Drosophila melanogaster: one gene and its partner. The protein of the gene in region 2 interacts with the protein of the main gene of each other region in a pairwise test. Each region holds a gene or a part of one and is shown on either strand. Other genes may lie near its edges.

Evidence for each region.
Region 1: the proteins of Lcp2 (region 2) and sxc interact in a two-hybrid assay, tested with the Drosophila melanogaster proteins (one large-scale study listed by BioGRID).

What each region holds. Positions count from the first base shown.
Region 1 is NT_033778.4:5,303,811-5,312,944, forward strand, and holds the start of sxc (super sex combs), read left to right. Parts: upstream 1-3,477; 5' UTR 3,478-3,688; coding exon 3,689-3,842; intron 3,843-9,134.
Region 2 is NT_033778.4:8,430,796-8,438,365, forward strand, and holds Lcp2 (larval cuticle protein 2), read right to left. Parts: upstream 3,991-7,570; 5' UTR 3,739-3,990; coding exon 3,727-3,738; intron 3,665-3,726; coding exon 3,296-3,664; 3' UTR 3,002-3,295; downstream 1-3,001. Other genes in the region: Lcp1 (larval cuticle protein 1), read right to left, coding at 1-330, 395-406; Lcp3 (larval cuticle protein 3), read left to right, coding at 4,694-4,705, 4,762-5,088; Lcp4 (larval cuticle protein 4), read left to right, coding at 6,901-6,912, 6,970-7,296. UniProt on the Drosophila melanogaster protein: Component of the larval cuticle.

The DNA.
Region 1 (9,134 bases), 3.1 Mb from region 2:
GTCCGTTCATCGACCCACCAAGCGGATTGCATTGTCAACAATGGTCAAATGGTATGATCCACTTGGTCTAATAACCCCAATTGTCAGAAAATCACATGATCTTTCTGCAATCTCTATGGAGTGCTAAGGTGGAATGGGACGACGCATAGCCAGACCAATTTTTTCGTCATGGTGGGAGTTGACTTCACAGTTATCGGTCGTAGAGAACTTAAAATTTCATTTATCTTCGCGAAGGCAGATGTAAACGGTGACCCTGATGCAACAACACTCCTGGAAAGGATTGAGCTGCGAGTATTTGTCCCTATTCCAAGAGAAACGCAAGTGTCGCGTCGTAGTTTTGCTTAAGGAGGACAACATTCCACCGTTGAGATGTCATTTTGAGCGCATCCAGGAAGTCATATCCGGCGGGGACAGCGTCATCAGAGTAGCTATCAAGAGAGCCGTCGTCCAACCAGTTGCCCCATCGATTTCGATATAGTTGGAACCGTACCTCTAACAACGAGCAGTCATGCGCTTATATTGTATGTATGTGTGACACCTCCTGCAGCGCTCTTCGGGTAACTATTTTCGCCCTTATTTCTACTCTGGCTAAAAATGTTGGGTTATCTATTCAGCTATTCGAAATCGCTACAGAAGCCTCGTCTGTTCATTTCTTTAAAATAGCTAATAAAAAGGCTTCTTAGCTCAACATACATGATACAAAATTTTCAACAAATTTAGTATGCCGACTTCCCCAACTATCATATACCCGTTACTCAGCTAGTTGAAATTGCGGCAGTTTTGGGCGGCTTAAGGCGTTAGAGTGGGTGTCTCAAAAATTTTTTGGCAGATAGATAGAACTTTACAAGACTAAAAATGTTATGAAAATATATCCAAAAATTATTCAAAAATGTGGGCGTGGCACTTTTGCTCGGTTTTAGGGCGTTCGAGTGGGAGTGGAAAATAGTGTTTTGGCAAATCGATAGAAATTTACAAGACTAATAAAATTATAACAAAATATCCAACAAATTTTCAGTCTTGGGCGGTTTTAAAGCCTTAGAGTCGGCATGACAAATCAATAGAAATTTACAAGACTAACAAAATTATAAAAAAATATCTAAAATTTTGAAAAATTGTGCGAGTGGCAGTTTTAGGGCTTTAGAGTGTGCGAGGCAACAATTTTTTTTTGCAAATCGATAGAAATTTACAATATTAATAATAATGTAAAAAAAATCAACACGTGTTTTTAAAAGTGTGTGTGCGCCTTTGTCCCTAGAATCTGTATGCTGAATCTTAACCTAGCTTTCAATCTAGCTTTCATAGTTCCTGAGATCTCGACGTTCATACGGACTCGGCTATTGGTCCCTGATCAAGAATATAAATACTTCATATGGTCGGAAACGCTCCCTTCTGTCTGTTATTTTTTAAAGAATATTTACGAATATAACAAATATTCAAGAATAACGAATTTTTTAATATTAACATTAGCAGTATAATTTTAAATAATTCAAATACTGTAAGCATATATAATTTCCAAATGAAAAATTCTTAAGCCTCAATGCATTTTCATATATAATTATACAACTGCTTATACTTACCTGCGATTTTCGAGAACGGTGCAACGTCGTGGTCGGATGGGACTTTAACGTGTGGGCCGCTCTAGTGTGGTCGCCACACACAACTCCCAAGGGCAAATTAAATCTCGAAACATTCGCTAGGCTGGACGTTCAACAGTGCCGTTGCAGGATTAATTATCGACCTCACGTTCATAAGCAGTCCATTCGCTCGCTTCTCCTGTTGGGGTATCAAGGAGGTGGTCACAGTCAGTGACCACGAGGCGATCCAGGTCGAAATAGGCACAAAGGCAATCGAGAGCAGGGCTAACACGCAGTAACCTAAGGCCTACCGACAGAACACCATGAGTCTAGAAGAGTCCGCCGGCATTCTCCATTACCTGACGGTCAACGAGGCGAACTTGTGATCGCAGCAGCGGATAAAATAGTAGCGAGGGTGGAGGAGGCCTGCGGCCAAAGCATGCGAATGAGGAAAACGAACCGAAGGCACCACACCCTGGTTTTCTGGTGGAGCGAGGATATTGCCTTGCAGCGCATCATCAGCCTACGCGCAACGAGACTCGTACAAAGAGCTCGTGGCACCACGCGTCTGGAAGCATGCCATACGGAATACAAGGTCACAAAGAATTCACCGAAGAAAACGATTAGAGCCAGCAATCGTGAATGCTTTCTGAAAGTCTGCGTCGCAGCAGAAAGCGATCCATCTGCTCTGGAAAACATCTTTAACGTTCTGTTCCTGTTCGGTCTGCCATTCCCAATTCCCAGATCGGGCCAAGCGGAGACGAATTGCGGCCTGTCACGGAGCCCGAGATCCTAGCGGCTGAGAGGAGTCTTAAAACCAAAACGGTACCACACCCGATCGCATCCCAAGCAAACTACGAGAAACAGTGCTATGTTTGTTACCGCCTAAATTTGAAGGTTTTTTTTTTGTTTTACCAATTATTTTTAAAATATCCATGAGATCTGTTACTAATTTTTTTATTTCGATTGAAAATCATTGTAGTATTTAAGTTTAGTGAGTAAAATAATGAGAAAGTGTCAGAAAATAGAGAAAAGCTGGGACAAACACGAAATGTGCTTATGATGCTATTATTGTTACCGCAACTGTAATAAAGAGAGTTTCTTGACAGTCTTAAAAGCGTGTAAACTTGGAATTTGTTGTTTATTTTCTTGTATATTTAATATTTTTAATTTGTTTTTTGATTTATAAGTAAAATAAATATTGTTTGATTATATTTTATAAAAAAAATTGCGTTTAATTAAGCAAAAAACCCTTTATTTTTAGCTTTAAAGTCAAAAATTCAACTTATTTTACAGTGTGTAAACAGTTTCTTGACAAACTGTATGTGATATGTGATTCTAGAGACATAGGCGCCGCGCAAGTTTGTTAACCCATGTTGCCATGTGCAATCCAACGCACACATACCGGACAAAACTGCCACGTCTACACTTATGTAAAATGTTTTATTATTCTTTCATATTTTTATTTTCTTTTAAATTTCTATGAATTTGCCAGAAAACATTTTGCCATGACCACTCTAACGCTAACAATTTCAAAATGTTTTGAAATTTTTTGATTTTTGTATACAATTTCTATTAATTCGCGGCCACGGCCCTTCTTACACCTTCCAAACCGGTCAAGACCGAACTTTTGATCAATTTGAAACAATTTTGTTCTTATTTTATATCCCAGTATTTAACGATATCCCAGAAAAATGATGAATGAATTTCGTGTTCCCATTTTCACGAGCTGACTAACGGTTATCTGATTGACTCGACAATACCATTCTCTCTTCATTTGAAATTATATGTGGTATATCATTGGTATAACATTGATATTATGTTAATATGGTTTTTGCCGCCGTAAGAATAGGGTATAAGCTATTAAGTTGCTGTTCACAGTGTTCAATATTTGAGTATGTAAATATTTGATTTTCTCTTGTAAATCGTATTAACAGCTGAGTGGATGTTTGAAAATAATTAAATCAGGTTGCTTTTATAACTTAATGCAATTCATATTGATATTTTACTGATATTCTCTTTCTTAAAGGTTTAATCATGTAAACAACATCACAGTGTCTTTACTTAAGGGTGGCTTATTGATTTTAGACACATGTTATCAACGTTGGATTTTAATGCATGTTGAACAAACACGAATAAATATGCAGTCTCAAGGACAGAGCCATCAACTGCCGTCCGCGGCCCATATATTATTAGATCAAAATCCGAATTCAACAGGCAGTAACCTAGTCGTAAAACAAAATGACATTCAATCTCTTTCATCAGTCGGTAAGAAATAACCATACATTTATATATGTATGTACATACGTTTGTAATTGATTTTTTTAAAGAATACATCTAGTTAAATACTTTATACATTAATGCAAATGAATAAGTTTGACAGCGAAGACAACCACAATTAAATTAAGAAAAATCAATAAATCAAACAATTGGTTATGCCTGGCCCGAGATAGATATGTGTCTAATGTGTCTCATATTAACAACATATTAAGAGATGCATATGGTGTACGCATCTAAAAATTCACACAACATAAAAATCAGTGTTCAGTGTCTGAGCTTATTTCGTGTAGTTAAATTAATTTTTATGTTGGCATTGCTTCGATGAAAGATACCAGAAAAATGTAAACGCAATATTTTTGAAAGAATTATTGACATGGTTAAAAAACAGACGATTTCCGTATTCTAAATGTGCATCCCTCATTAAAGCCGTATCTTGTAAGGGGTATCTGGTAGTCGAGAAACTCGTCTATAATGTTATCTCTCACTCCATCTAAAATTAAATTTTTTATTGTAATTTTTTTTTTTTCTGGCTTAAAGCTTACTTTGCACTTAAATTTTTTTTCGTTCTGCTGTAGCTTGCACGTTTTTCCTTTTTTAAATTTTTGACAACATATATTACATATATGTACATATATTATTTGGTATTCATTGAAAAGTTCTTCGGTGCTTTTCGGCCTTCATTCAATACAGTATTTTCTTTTAGGGAGAAGCTTCCGCTTCTCCGCGAAGTTGGATCAATCTCGGATATTAAAATTAAAAAATTGTTAGGTTTAAAATGGCCATTTATTGAATATTAACATACTGCACAAAATAAGCTGCGGCATAAAAAACACCTTTTTGTTTTCTAAAACGATTAGAAAATTGCTTTTTTTTTATATAACAAATTTAAGAATCCGGTGCTGAAATACCTTATTGGTTTGAAACCTCTAAACTGTACGAACAAACTACAGCAGACAACTTCGGATGTGTCCTTTGAAATTTCAAGGGTTCGTTACCCTGCATATCCGTTGGTTAATCTGCACCAATTGAAGTGCTTAACACTAGTCTAATTTGTTTAAACTGTATTATTTCTAGAATATCATTGACTGCGTAGTGAGAGATCTTGAAAACTCATTGACTCGGCCCATTTTAGGGTAGTCCTGAATCTGGATGTGTATGATCTATACCTGTATTTCAATCTGCATACATATGCATGTGTCTGCAGTTCTCAGTGTGTGTCTCAATCATCTTTCCTTGCTGTACCTGAGGAATTATCTCTTGAGCATAGTATCTAGTTGCCTTCTCTAAAGTATGAAGCTTATACAGATTACTTCCTCTGATAATTGCACGAAATAATATTCAGTGTGAAGAAGGAAGTTTAAAAATAAGTTTTGTTTTCATTTTATTATTTGCCTTGCTATGTTTTATTGATTTAAAAATCTGTTGCGGAACTCGACCAAAGGGTACGGCCAAAGACACCAGAATAACAAGATGCGTAACGCCATTCGATGTGGCTCTAGAGCACTATGGGGCATTTGGCCTGTTTTTTTTACAATAATGTGTTTTTCACAAGTATGCAAATTTGAAGTATTTTAGTATTAATACATTGGAAATACGTTAAACTGTTATGATACAGCCCGCAAAAGTTAATTTTACAATGCACCGTTATAATAACAGCTGTTAAAGTCGGCTGTTGCGAGCATATATCACGTGGCTGCTTTGCGCGCAAAATTTAGCTTAACTTTCAAAGTGTTAAAATTTAAAAAGAAGAAGAAGGAGAGTATAATTTGAAATAGATAATCAATCTTTAGGTTTTTATTATGTGTTGTTATTAATATATTGTTTATTGTGTGCGCCTATTTCTAACAATTTGTACATTTAGCAAGTGGTGTCAACATGTAGTTGTTTGAAAAAATTTTAAACTTTGAATAGAGCTACAACAATTTGTTCAAATTTGTTCAGTAAGTGTTTATATCCATGTTGTAGTGTGTTCAATTTCTAACTCATATCAGGTAGTCTCTATGTGCGTTTTTTGCGGTTTCTTGAGAAATTTCATTTTTTAGGGAGCAATATCTCGATTTCCAATGCTGCCCTGCTGGAAGTGTGGCGCAAGCAAAAGGTTGTTCGTCAAAAGGAAAATTCTATTTGCACTTTTATCAGTGGGCATATTTCTGATAGCAAGCTAGACTTTAATGAACGATTAACGAATAATATTAATAACGAATGATTTCAGTCAATCTTTTGCGAAATTGGAGAAAATGCAATCGAAAAATAAATGAATTTTTGAAAGTTTTTCAAATTGGTTAGAAGAACACCTAGTCCTGAAGGTAAAGGAGAAAAATAAAAAGGAAAGGAAATTAGCTGGACTCCCGAAAACGTCATATTATTTAAAAAATTTGAGTGGCCGAAGACAGCAAGCAGATGAACTCGTAAGGGCGCAGAATCACAACGAATGTCTTTTGGTTCAAGCTGTACGGAAGTGCTGCCTGCGGGATCTTGCAGCCATACTTAAAATTCTTTTGTTGAACCCAGCCAAAGCAAAAACTATTAGTAGCTTCGCAGATGTCTTTTACAGAGCAATGGATACTACGGATCCCATAATATCATCAATAAATTTAAAGAGGCGAAAACATAAGCGACTATCTCTTCCACCAGAAGTCATTCAAATGTTAGCTTGCGAATTTGAACCTGATAAAAATTCTTCAGACTCTGCCGATTGTGAAGAGGAAGACGGTTATGAATTATACAATATTGAAATTAAAAATAAACTTTAAAAATATATTATTAAAAAAAATTATAATATAATATATTAAAAAAAAAAAAAATTGGGGCGGAGTTGGGGCACGGCCACTTTTTCAAAATATTCCTGGAGGCATGTGTAACGCATAAAAAAAAATTCATCCAAATATCTCCAATAGTTTAGGAGGTATTAATTTTTGTAAAAAAAAACAGGCCAAATGCCCCATAGTGTAGAGGTGGCTCCAGGCTCTCTCGAATTTTAGTTCGAGAGCAAAAGAGCTCTTTTCTACGCATACAGTGATAGCAGACAACTGTATGTGTGCACACGTATGCTCATGCATTGTAAATTTGACAAAATATGCCCTTCACCTTAGAAGTTCATAGATATTATCTATCTATATTATAGATCTATATTATTTTTATATATATATTATTTTTGATCTATATATCTATATTATTTTTGATCAATTGGCATCATGCGGAAAATTCTTGTTTTGCTTGCCTTAACGTCATTATTATTTAAATATAGCTTAGAAATAGTTATAGCCGAATCATAATGTCACAAAATAAATTTCAAAAATGACTATATTAGAATATTTGTCATTAGAGTATTCAGCTTGCGACGTGTGAAAAATTAATAAGGCATTGTTGAGTGCTTGTGTAAGCAATTTAATGTCTTCTTTTTGGAAAATTTATGTTTTAAATTACAGTAGTTATCATACTTCCTTTGCATTTGCCTTAATTATTTAGTATATTTATTAAGTCCTTCGACTTAATATGATTTATGTAAATGATCGATTTATATTATTTAAAATGCACATTAGATTCAGTTGTTTAGTTGCAGTTTTTTTTGTTTTATTCCAATTTGATATTTTTAAACAGCGCGCAATTTCATCATATTGCTACGAAATTGGCCAAAACTCCCCAAATATGTAAATTCGTTTCTTTGATCAGAATTGATTTCGGCCCGAAAATCGTCTTCTAGCACAACACGCACACATATACGCGTTCTCGTCTCTTGTTTTAACTCTCACAAACAAGCAAATTCTATTTTCAGATTGCTTACGCTCTCATCGTAAGCGAGCGGACAGAGAGCAATTTTGGCCGTCACCAAATTAGGTTCTCCGTTAGTTTATGTGTACATAAGAGCTCAACATCAAAATCAAAAATGTTAAAAAATCAAAAATTTGACCTTTTCAATTTTTTCTAATTAAATTTTTTTACCAAATATTATAAAAAAACATTTGCCCAACCAATATTTGTTTTTGTCGTTTGTCCGCCTTTAAAAAACTTTAAATTTTTTTTTTCGTTTGCCTCGCTTGAATATAACTTATTTCGTAAGCCCACCTCTTAGAAATAAATATTTCGTTTGCCCACTGTTAAAAATAATTTATTTCTTTAAAATTAGTTTTAATCGTTTGACCATCCTTTAAAATTAGTGTCTATCGTTTTCCCATCCTTGCAAATTAGTTTTTATCGTTTGTCCATCCTTTAAAATTAGTTACCTAGTAACTAGGTACAGGCTTAAAAAATCAAAATCCAAACTTTGTAAAAAAACGTAGGATCTTAAACTGTATTTCATCTTATCGAGACGTGCATTGAAGATCTAAATCCTCCTAATAATCTAAATTCCTGTGCGTCACCAGGTTAGTGCTCCTTGAGCAAAAATTTTTCATGTGAGATATTAAGAAAACTGTTCAAGCGAAAGCTTTGAAAATTTGTTTCCCTTAAAAGTTGAACAATTCTATAAATGTAAAATTTGTTGTTTTTAGATTTTTATTTAAATAAAAAAGAAAGACAATCCATAATGGGTATGGGTAAGTGAAAATTGGCTCATCAGGATAGCGCCCCCTACAATAATTTAAGTTTTTCGATTCAGTTCAAAAAAAATTAGTTGATTAGCACTTAAATATTTAAATTAGAATATTTTTAAAGGAAATTAATAATTATTTGATCCTTCTTTGTTTCTCGTCCCAGAGTACAACATAATGCCACTCGTTAGACTAGGTCATATGAGCTCCGGCAAAACTTAGTCGTGATTTTTTTCGCAACTTTCTATATTTTTTCGGTTTTTCGTGTTTTAAATGTTTAGCTTTCTTAATCACCCTAATTTTTTTCTCGAATTTGGCCGGAGCAGTTGTGGGAATTGGTATTTGACATGTGGACCTGCGATCTGCCGCGTTAAAGACACTGTTATTGCCACCTTTATAGTGTTTTCTATAAGTTTAATTGTTTTTAATAAAATTGGCTATAGTTTTGCGATGTATGCGCTTTTTTTCTGCAATTTTACGAAAAGAAAGCTATGATAGAAAGCTATGATTTCAGATTTTTCTTCTCTTTTTTCGCAAAATGAAAGCAAACTTTTCAATTTAACAGCATAAATAATTTTGTTGTCTCACCTTTCAAATTATGGAAAATATTCAAAACTGCATTGGGGGCGCTAATCTCATGATGCAATATACGTGCCCAATTTTTCGCCGAAAGGAAAACAAAGCAGAATTAAAAAGATAGCTGTTCTTCTTTTATCCTCAAAGAGAGAGGGAATATCAGTGAACAAAAAAC
Region 2 (7,570 bases):
GACGGCGCGGGCGATGGCCTCTGGGATTGGAGGAGGAGTGGGGATCCAGGCTCCCGAGGGCTGGTATCCGTTCTCATTGGCGACGTACTTAACCTCGACGTGCTCGCCCTCGGGTGAGATCCAGCCGAAGTTGCCGTGGATGTTGCCATGGGCATCACCGCTGGCGGCCTGCTCGATTCCGTTGGAGGTGTGCAGGCTGGAATCGAATCCATCGGCACGAACATCATCGGATTGGGAAAGGACATCGGCGTGGACATCCTCCGAACGGCCTAGGGAATGGGGCACCGGGGGGTTGGCCACCGCCAGGCCCAAAACTGCGCAGATCATGACCTGAAGGAGAAATAGGCATTCGTTAGGGATCGAGTATGTTGGTTCGTATCCTGCGGACACTTACAAACTTGAACATATTGGCTGACTTCTGTCTGGTCGAGAACGAACGTTGACTGATAACTGATTGTGGTCGGGCAGAGCCTTTTTATATGATTGCCACCCAAAGTGAACCCATATCAAAACGCTACATCTTGCATTCAATTGGTTCGCTGAGTTATGGGTTGACTTCGCGGATGCGCCCACACCCATTAAAAAGCATCGTCACATGCGACAGCTTAGCAAATGCCAAACAACGGGATAAGTACTATATATAATCGCTTAATAGATGCTAAAATGAAACAATCGCATCAATAAGGGGCAAACGGGTCGGGTGGCATCCCGAAATCGAAACGAGTTTGACCCGCCCCTTCATTAAATCCCCTCCTTTGAGCTTGACTTGGCATTGCCAGGCCGTGAACCACTTTTGTAGTCCCATCAAGACTCCATGGACTACAAAGCATCGCCGACTTCTTAGACTCGATGTTTTGTAATATATAAACGTGTGTCTCTACCTTGGCACCATTTCTTCTTTTTTTTATCAATTCCTCTCGACGAACAGGTTGCAGTTTGCTTTTAAACAAATTCAAGTGTGTTTTACATTATATTTCATATGCATAGCGCCTTATATTATTTTTTTATATTTCGTAAAATTAAATAAGATAATAAGACCTGTTCCATATAGGAGGCTACCGAAATACATAGTTTTTTAGTGACAATTAAAATTGTTAAGAAAACCTAATGTTAACCTAAAGAGGATATTTACTTGTCTGTATAGGCATATAAACTAAAAGTTTACTTAAAATTTATAATTCCTATAGATACATTTCATGGTATTTAAATGTGCAAGCCGAACATCTAATATAAGAGCTTGAATAGTTTGTTTTTCAGATCAGTTAGACCGCACAGTATCCTCACAAATTTGGTTTGAAAGTTAAGATTAATTTGTAATCAAACAGAATAGCCTCTTCTGAGATTTATGCTAGTGACTATCGCACCTTTAACAATCCAAGCTTCTAATATTAACTGTTGTGACGAAAATAGAGTTTTTATTCAACTAAGACAATACAATATCTAAAAGTTACTCGTTCGGGACGCTTTATGACATTATTTATTTGAGGTGCATTTGCAGACAGACAAACAACCAAACAAATTCCCAGTCTTATTTTAAAAAGAGAGAATGCTATACTCAGCTGGAAGTGTGACCGATATATTTCAATACTTTTTTGAATATCGGTAAAAATTTGGAAACAAATAATAATATGAAAAAAATTATTGAATTGTTCAAAACGTGTGGGCGTGGCAGTTTTAGGCCGTTTGTGGGCCTCTGGAATCTTCATATCTAATCTTAACTCTCTAGTTTTTGAAGTCGAGGCGTTCATACGGACATACTCTGCTATTGATCGCTTTTAAAAATATATATACTTTATATGGTGTGAAACGCCTCCTTCTACCTGTTACATAATTTTCCTAGTATTCCATTTTACTTTCGAGTAACGGGTATTATCATTTCAGTTTATCTTCGTATGTTTTTATCTCATTATCTTCTTAGATTATTTTACGGTTCAATCTCTTTACTTTTTATGCTGCCTTTCTATTGGTTATCACACAATATAATAAGACAACTACAGCAGATAGAAGTTGTCTTTGTACTCTCTGGTGCGCTTCGTCACTACGTGGAATGCCGTTCATGGTGATTCTTCTCTCTTTTTGAAACCATTTACTTATGTCGGGTAAAAAACTTTATTGAATAATATATAACATGTCGATGGAAAGTCGGTGGATGGGTCTGAGATCGGGGTGAAGAGTCTTGGTGATGGTGCGGATGCTCGGGTACCGGTCAGTGGAACGCCTTCGGGATTGGTGCAGGAGTCGGAATCAAGGCTGATCGAAGCCTGGTATCCGTTCTCACCAGCGTCGTACGTGACCTCGACGTGATCGCCCTCGGGGGTGATCCATTTTATAGTGCCCTGAAAAATACCATCGATATCTGCTTTGGCGGCCCGCTCGATTCCGTTGAATATGTGCAGACTGCTGGAATCGAATCCATCGGTATAAACATCGTATGATTGGTAGTGGACATCGGCGTTGTCACTTTCGAAACGTCCTACGGATGGGGGATGGGGGATGAGCCACTCAATCCAAAAACTGCACAGATCACCACGTGAACGAGAGCATAGACATTGAATACGTTCGTATCCTGCCGTTACTCACGAGCATGAACATTTTAGATTCCAATTTCTGTTTGCTCGAGAACGAACGTTGACTGATAACCACCAAAACTGAACCCAAGTCAATACGCTACATCTTTCATACGATTGGTGCTCTGAAATCTGGGTTGACTATGAAGATACCCCACACCCATTAAAAAGCATCGCATGGCAATCCACGGGATTAGTACTACGAGTATATACTAGGGTAATCGGCTCGTGTGGCATTGACCATTGCTTTTCTATTTCAATAAGTTTGTCCATTGGTATTGGCTTCTCTAATTGGCTTTTAAATACTACTTAAAATAAAAAAAAAATGCATTGAGACTTTTAGTGAGAATAAAATTGTATGCAAACATTTGCTTTTTTGTTTTTCAGATCTTTTAGACTGCCCAGATCCTTCTCAAATTTTAAAAGACAAAATTAATTTTTAATTCAGCACATCTTTTCTTTATGGACACATATACTCATTTTTGATAAATGGATTTAGTGAATCGAATATAAAAGGTAGAAGGAAGCATTCCCAGCGAAGGTAGAGGTATAAAAGCTCGTATTATTACAGGAACTACCTAAAAAGTGCAATGAAGAACACACACATTTTTACTGCTATAAGCAAGTGCATGTATTTTTTTGAAAGTCAAGAAGTACAGCTAAACAACTTGGGCGATTTGTTTCGGGAGAACAGTCCGTGGAGTGGTCCGGGATCCGGGTGACGAGTCCTAGTGATGACGGGGGTGCTCGGGTGCTGGGGGGTGAGACTCCAGCCAGGCAACGGCGCGGGCGATGGCCTCTGGGATTGGAGGAGGAGTGGGGATCCAGGCTCCCGAGGGCTGGTATCCGTTTTCATTCGCGACGTACTTTACCTCAACGTGCTCGCCCTCGGGTGAGATCCAGCCGAAGTTGCCGTGGATGTTGCCATGGGCATCACCGCTGGCGGCCTGCTCGATTCCGTTTGAGGTGTGCAGGCTGGAGTCGAATCCGTCGGCACGAACGTCGTCCGATCGGGAAAGGACATCAGCGTGTACATCATCGGAGCGGGAAACTGGGGCTAGGGCGGTAGCCACTCCCACAACGGCGAGAATCATCACCTGGATAGAGGAAATGATACCAATTAGATGGCGAGTTCATAAATGTCCTGTGAGCCACTCACAAACTTGAACATGTTGGCTGATTTCTGTCTGGTCGAGAACGAACGTTGACTGATAACTGACTTTGGTCGACAGAGTCTTTTTATATGATTCCCAATTTGGTTGCTTTCCAAACGAATTGCTTATTACTTTTTGGGCCAAATCTAAGTTATCACGAAACGCCCATGATGCCAACAAAAGGCAGGGCCCATAAATTCTCCACTTGACTCTGCGATACAAATGTCAAAAAACAAGTCTTGCGCTGCTGAACAGATTCCGAAATGAAACATGCTTCGGTAGAAATTTTGTAGGGGCGATGGAGTACGGTTTTCGGATTCTGTGCTCATCGATGACGTTTCGAGTTGACCAAGTCTTTATCAATCATGCCTGTACAAAATCAAAAAACCCAATACACTTCACTTGATAGCAGTCCCATCTATTTTAAAAGGTTCCGAAGTGGTAATAAACAATATACCGGAATAAACGATTTCGCAAGTGATACTGCATATTAACGTGCTAGTTGCCTATGACATTTTGTTGTATCTCAATATTTTGGATGTCACTGTTTAATTTAAAAAAACCCGCAAAGCTTTTGGCCAGAGTTGTCAACGTGCCACACACCAAATGAAACACCGAAAACTATGCTATGCTTAAGTTTAGTTCATATTGAAGTTGAATTTTAGAAAATTAAATATTGTACTGCTTAATAATTATTCTGGTTTCTGGTCCGGTTTGCTTTGCATTTCGGTTAGACTAGGGCGAATATTTCAGTTGAATAAATAACTAAGAATGCTCATCTCCTAATGAAAGTGGTTAAGCCATCTCAAGTCGACTAATTTGCATCCCAGACGGTTTTTATTATATGCATCACATTGACTTAATTATAATACGCACATTGCATCAGCTTTTGATGATATATAAACACCGATTTGAGCATAGATTGTCATCAGTCTTAGAAGATTTCTAGTCCGACAATCCACCCAAATCAAAATGTTCAAGATCGTAAGTATGCCTTGAGGAGCATAGTGACTTCGCAGTCTAATCCTGGATTATCCTAGCTGCTTGTCTGTTCTCTCGCCGCCCTGGTGGCCGCCAACGCTAATGTGGAGGTCAAGGAGCTGGTCAACGATGTCCAGCCCGATGGCTTTGTCAGCAAGTTGGTCCTCGACGACGGATCTGCCTCCTCCGCCACCGGAGACATCCACGGCAACATCGACGGAGTCTTCGAGTGGATCTCCCCCGAGGGTGTCCATGTGCGAGTGAGCTACAAGGCTGACGAGAACGGATACCAGCCCCAGAGTGACCTGCTGCCCACTCCTCCTCCGATCCCAGCTGCCATCCTGAAGGCTATCGCCTACATCGAGGCTAACCCCAGCAAGAACTAAGTGAACCCGCCGACTAGGAACATGAAAGATTGGAGACAGCTAGGTTGAGTTTGGATAATTTCTTACCAGTTGTTTTAAATTTAAGGAAAATGTTATCGAATTCGAAAATAAATTAAACCTTGCAATATAAACCAAGTGCATGTTTTACAAATCTGACAGTTCGATTTAAGAGAAGGCTCCCGGTATTATATGGTATAAGAAGGTACAATTAGAAGATTAAAAGTAATCAAAGACACTTTGGCCTTCATTAAATTACAATTGTGTTGTTATAGTATAGTACGAAATTAATTTAAATACAAAAATCTTTAAAGCATCTAAAATAAATGTAAACATTACAAAAATCTTACCTGGACAAGCCGATATCTCCTTGCATTAATTTCATATTTCCGAAAACTGGGTTATAACTAGTTATTATTTTAAGTTAAGTTCATAGGCAGCCACAAGTAATTAAATGTTGCCAACCTGATGCATCCCAGATAAGATCGCAGTATGATGAAAACGACGAGGAACTTTTTTATATCTATTATTTGTAGAGGATAAGGGTACACTTGAATTGTTAGAACGCATGTCGGTATTATGGGTATTAAGGGTATTATGAAGCGTTTTCGAACCTAAAAAGTATGTATATTCATCATCATTATCACTAGCCGAGTCGAATTTTTGTTTTTATATTGGTCTTTTTATGAATATAACTGAAATTGGCATTATAAGCCTAGATGTAAAAATCAAATTCTTCATCTTTTTTTTAACCTTTTTTAAATAGTCATACACGTAACAAAAAATAACACAGACTTCCCTGAGGTTACACGGTTATAAGATCTTGTAGTGATTTTTGGAGAAATATCAATCAAATTGCTGTGCTTTCGGATTTTTGATTATATTATGATATTGTAACTTAAGTGTTTAATAGTGATTGTATAAGTAAGAATCGTATACATTGTATATGTCAAACTCCACGGGAATGTTCATATTGACTTAACGGAAACTAGAGATAAAATATACACACAATGTTTTTTTTTATTAAACGAAATTATTTACAATAATTTAATTGACTAGCAATAGTACGCTCTTCTTAGGCAACCCAATCTTATCGGTATCAATTTAAACTATTCTTAATATCTATGTTATTTACAAAGGTTATATGAGTAAGAGTTTTTGAGGAATAGAATGTTTATGCAGATTTTAATTTAGTAGGATTTATGTCAAGTCCCGGTCAGTCAAGTCTTGAGGGTGGTGAACACAGAATGTTAGATTCCATAAACCCGTTCCCAGTCATTTCGCAGATAGAAACCAAATGATGCTCCGAAAGGTATGCTGGATCTACAAGCGGTTCGCAAAAAAGTTTTGTTTTCTAGTTATTTTTCACCTCCTAATAATTAAACTTCTACTATCAGCAGCTTAGACATTATTCAATCAAGTTATTTTTATATGATTTGTCTGGAGTAATTCAAAGTTATCTGACTAAATATTCCGGAAGATGTTAAATTATTTCAATGAGAAGGTGGACTTACCCTTTTCCGAGTAACCCGATTCTTTTTAGAATAATTACGGTAGCGATTTGCATAGACAATAGAAATCAAAAAGAGTGCAGCAGACGATTTTTATCGCCACCAAGCATGTCACTTGAACCAGTCCGTAAAACCAAACGAGACCTATGCTGGCCGAAATGTTAATTAAAAACGGGTTGCATCAGCTTTTGATCAGCTTTAAGATTTCGTGGGGAGTGCGTATAAGCGTATAAAAGCCGACGAGTGATCCCGAATTGGCATCAGTCTCACGAGTTCTTTAGTCTGACAATCTAACCAAGTCAAAATGTTCAAGATCGTAAGTATCTGAAGTTTAAAGCCGGACAGTTCAATGAGTAATCCCGGAATATCCTAGCTGCTTGTCTGCGCCCTTGTCGCCCTGGTGGCCGCCAACGAGAATCCCGAGGTCAAGGAGCTGGTCAACGATGTCCAAGCCGATGGCTTCGTAAGCAAGTTGGTCCTGGACAACGGTTCCGCTGCTTCTGCTACCGGAGATGTCCACGGAAACATCGACGGAGTTTTCGAGTGGGTCTCCCCCGAGGGCGAACACGTCCGTGTGAGCTACAAGGCCGACGAGAACGGATACCAGCCCCAGAGCGACCTCCTGCCCACTCCTCCTCCAATCCCAGAGGCCATCCTGAAGGCCATCGCCTACATCCAGGCCCATCCCAGCAAGGAATAAGCAATCGACACGACCAGGACCCACATTCGAATCGGAGGTGCAACTCCAAAGACCTTGCCCTCTAACCCTTAGAATTTAAACAGCATGCAGACATTATAAATGATTATCGAGTTAGGAAATAAATTCGATACTCTTTGGCAACAAATCTATTTAGATATGGTCTTAATTTCCCTGACGGCAGCAGGAGTTACCTTGTTTATGGCTGATTTATTTTGGCCGAGGGAACAAACGCTGCTTCAGATTATCACGAACTGTCTGGATGTTACGTGATTGA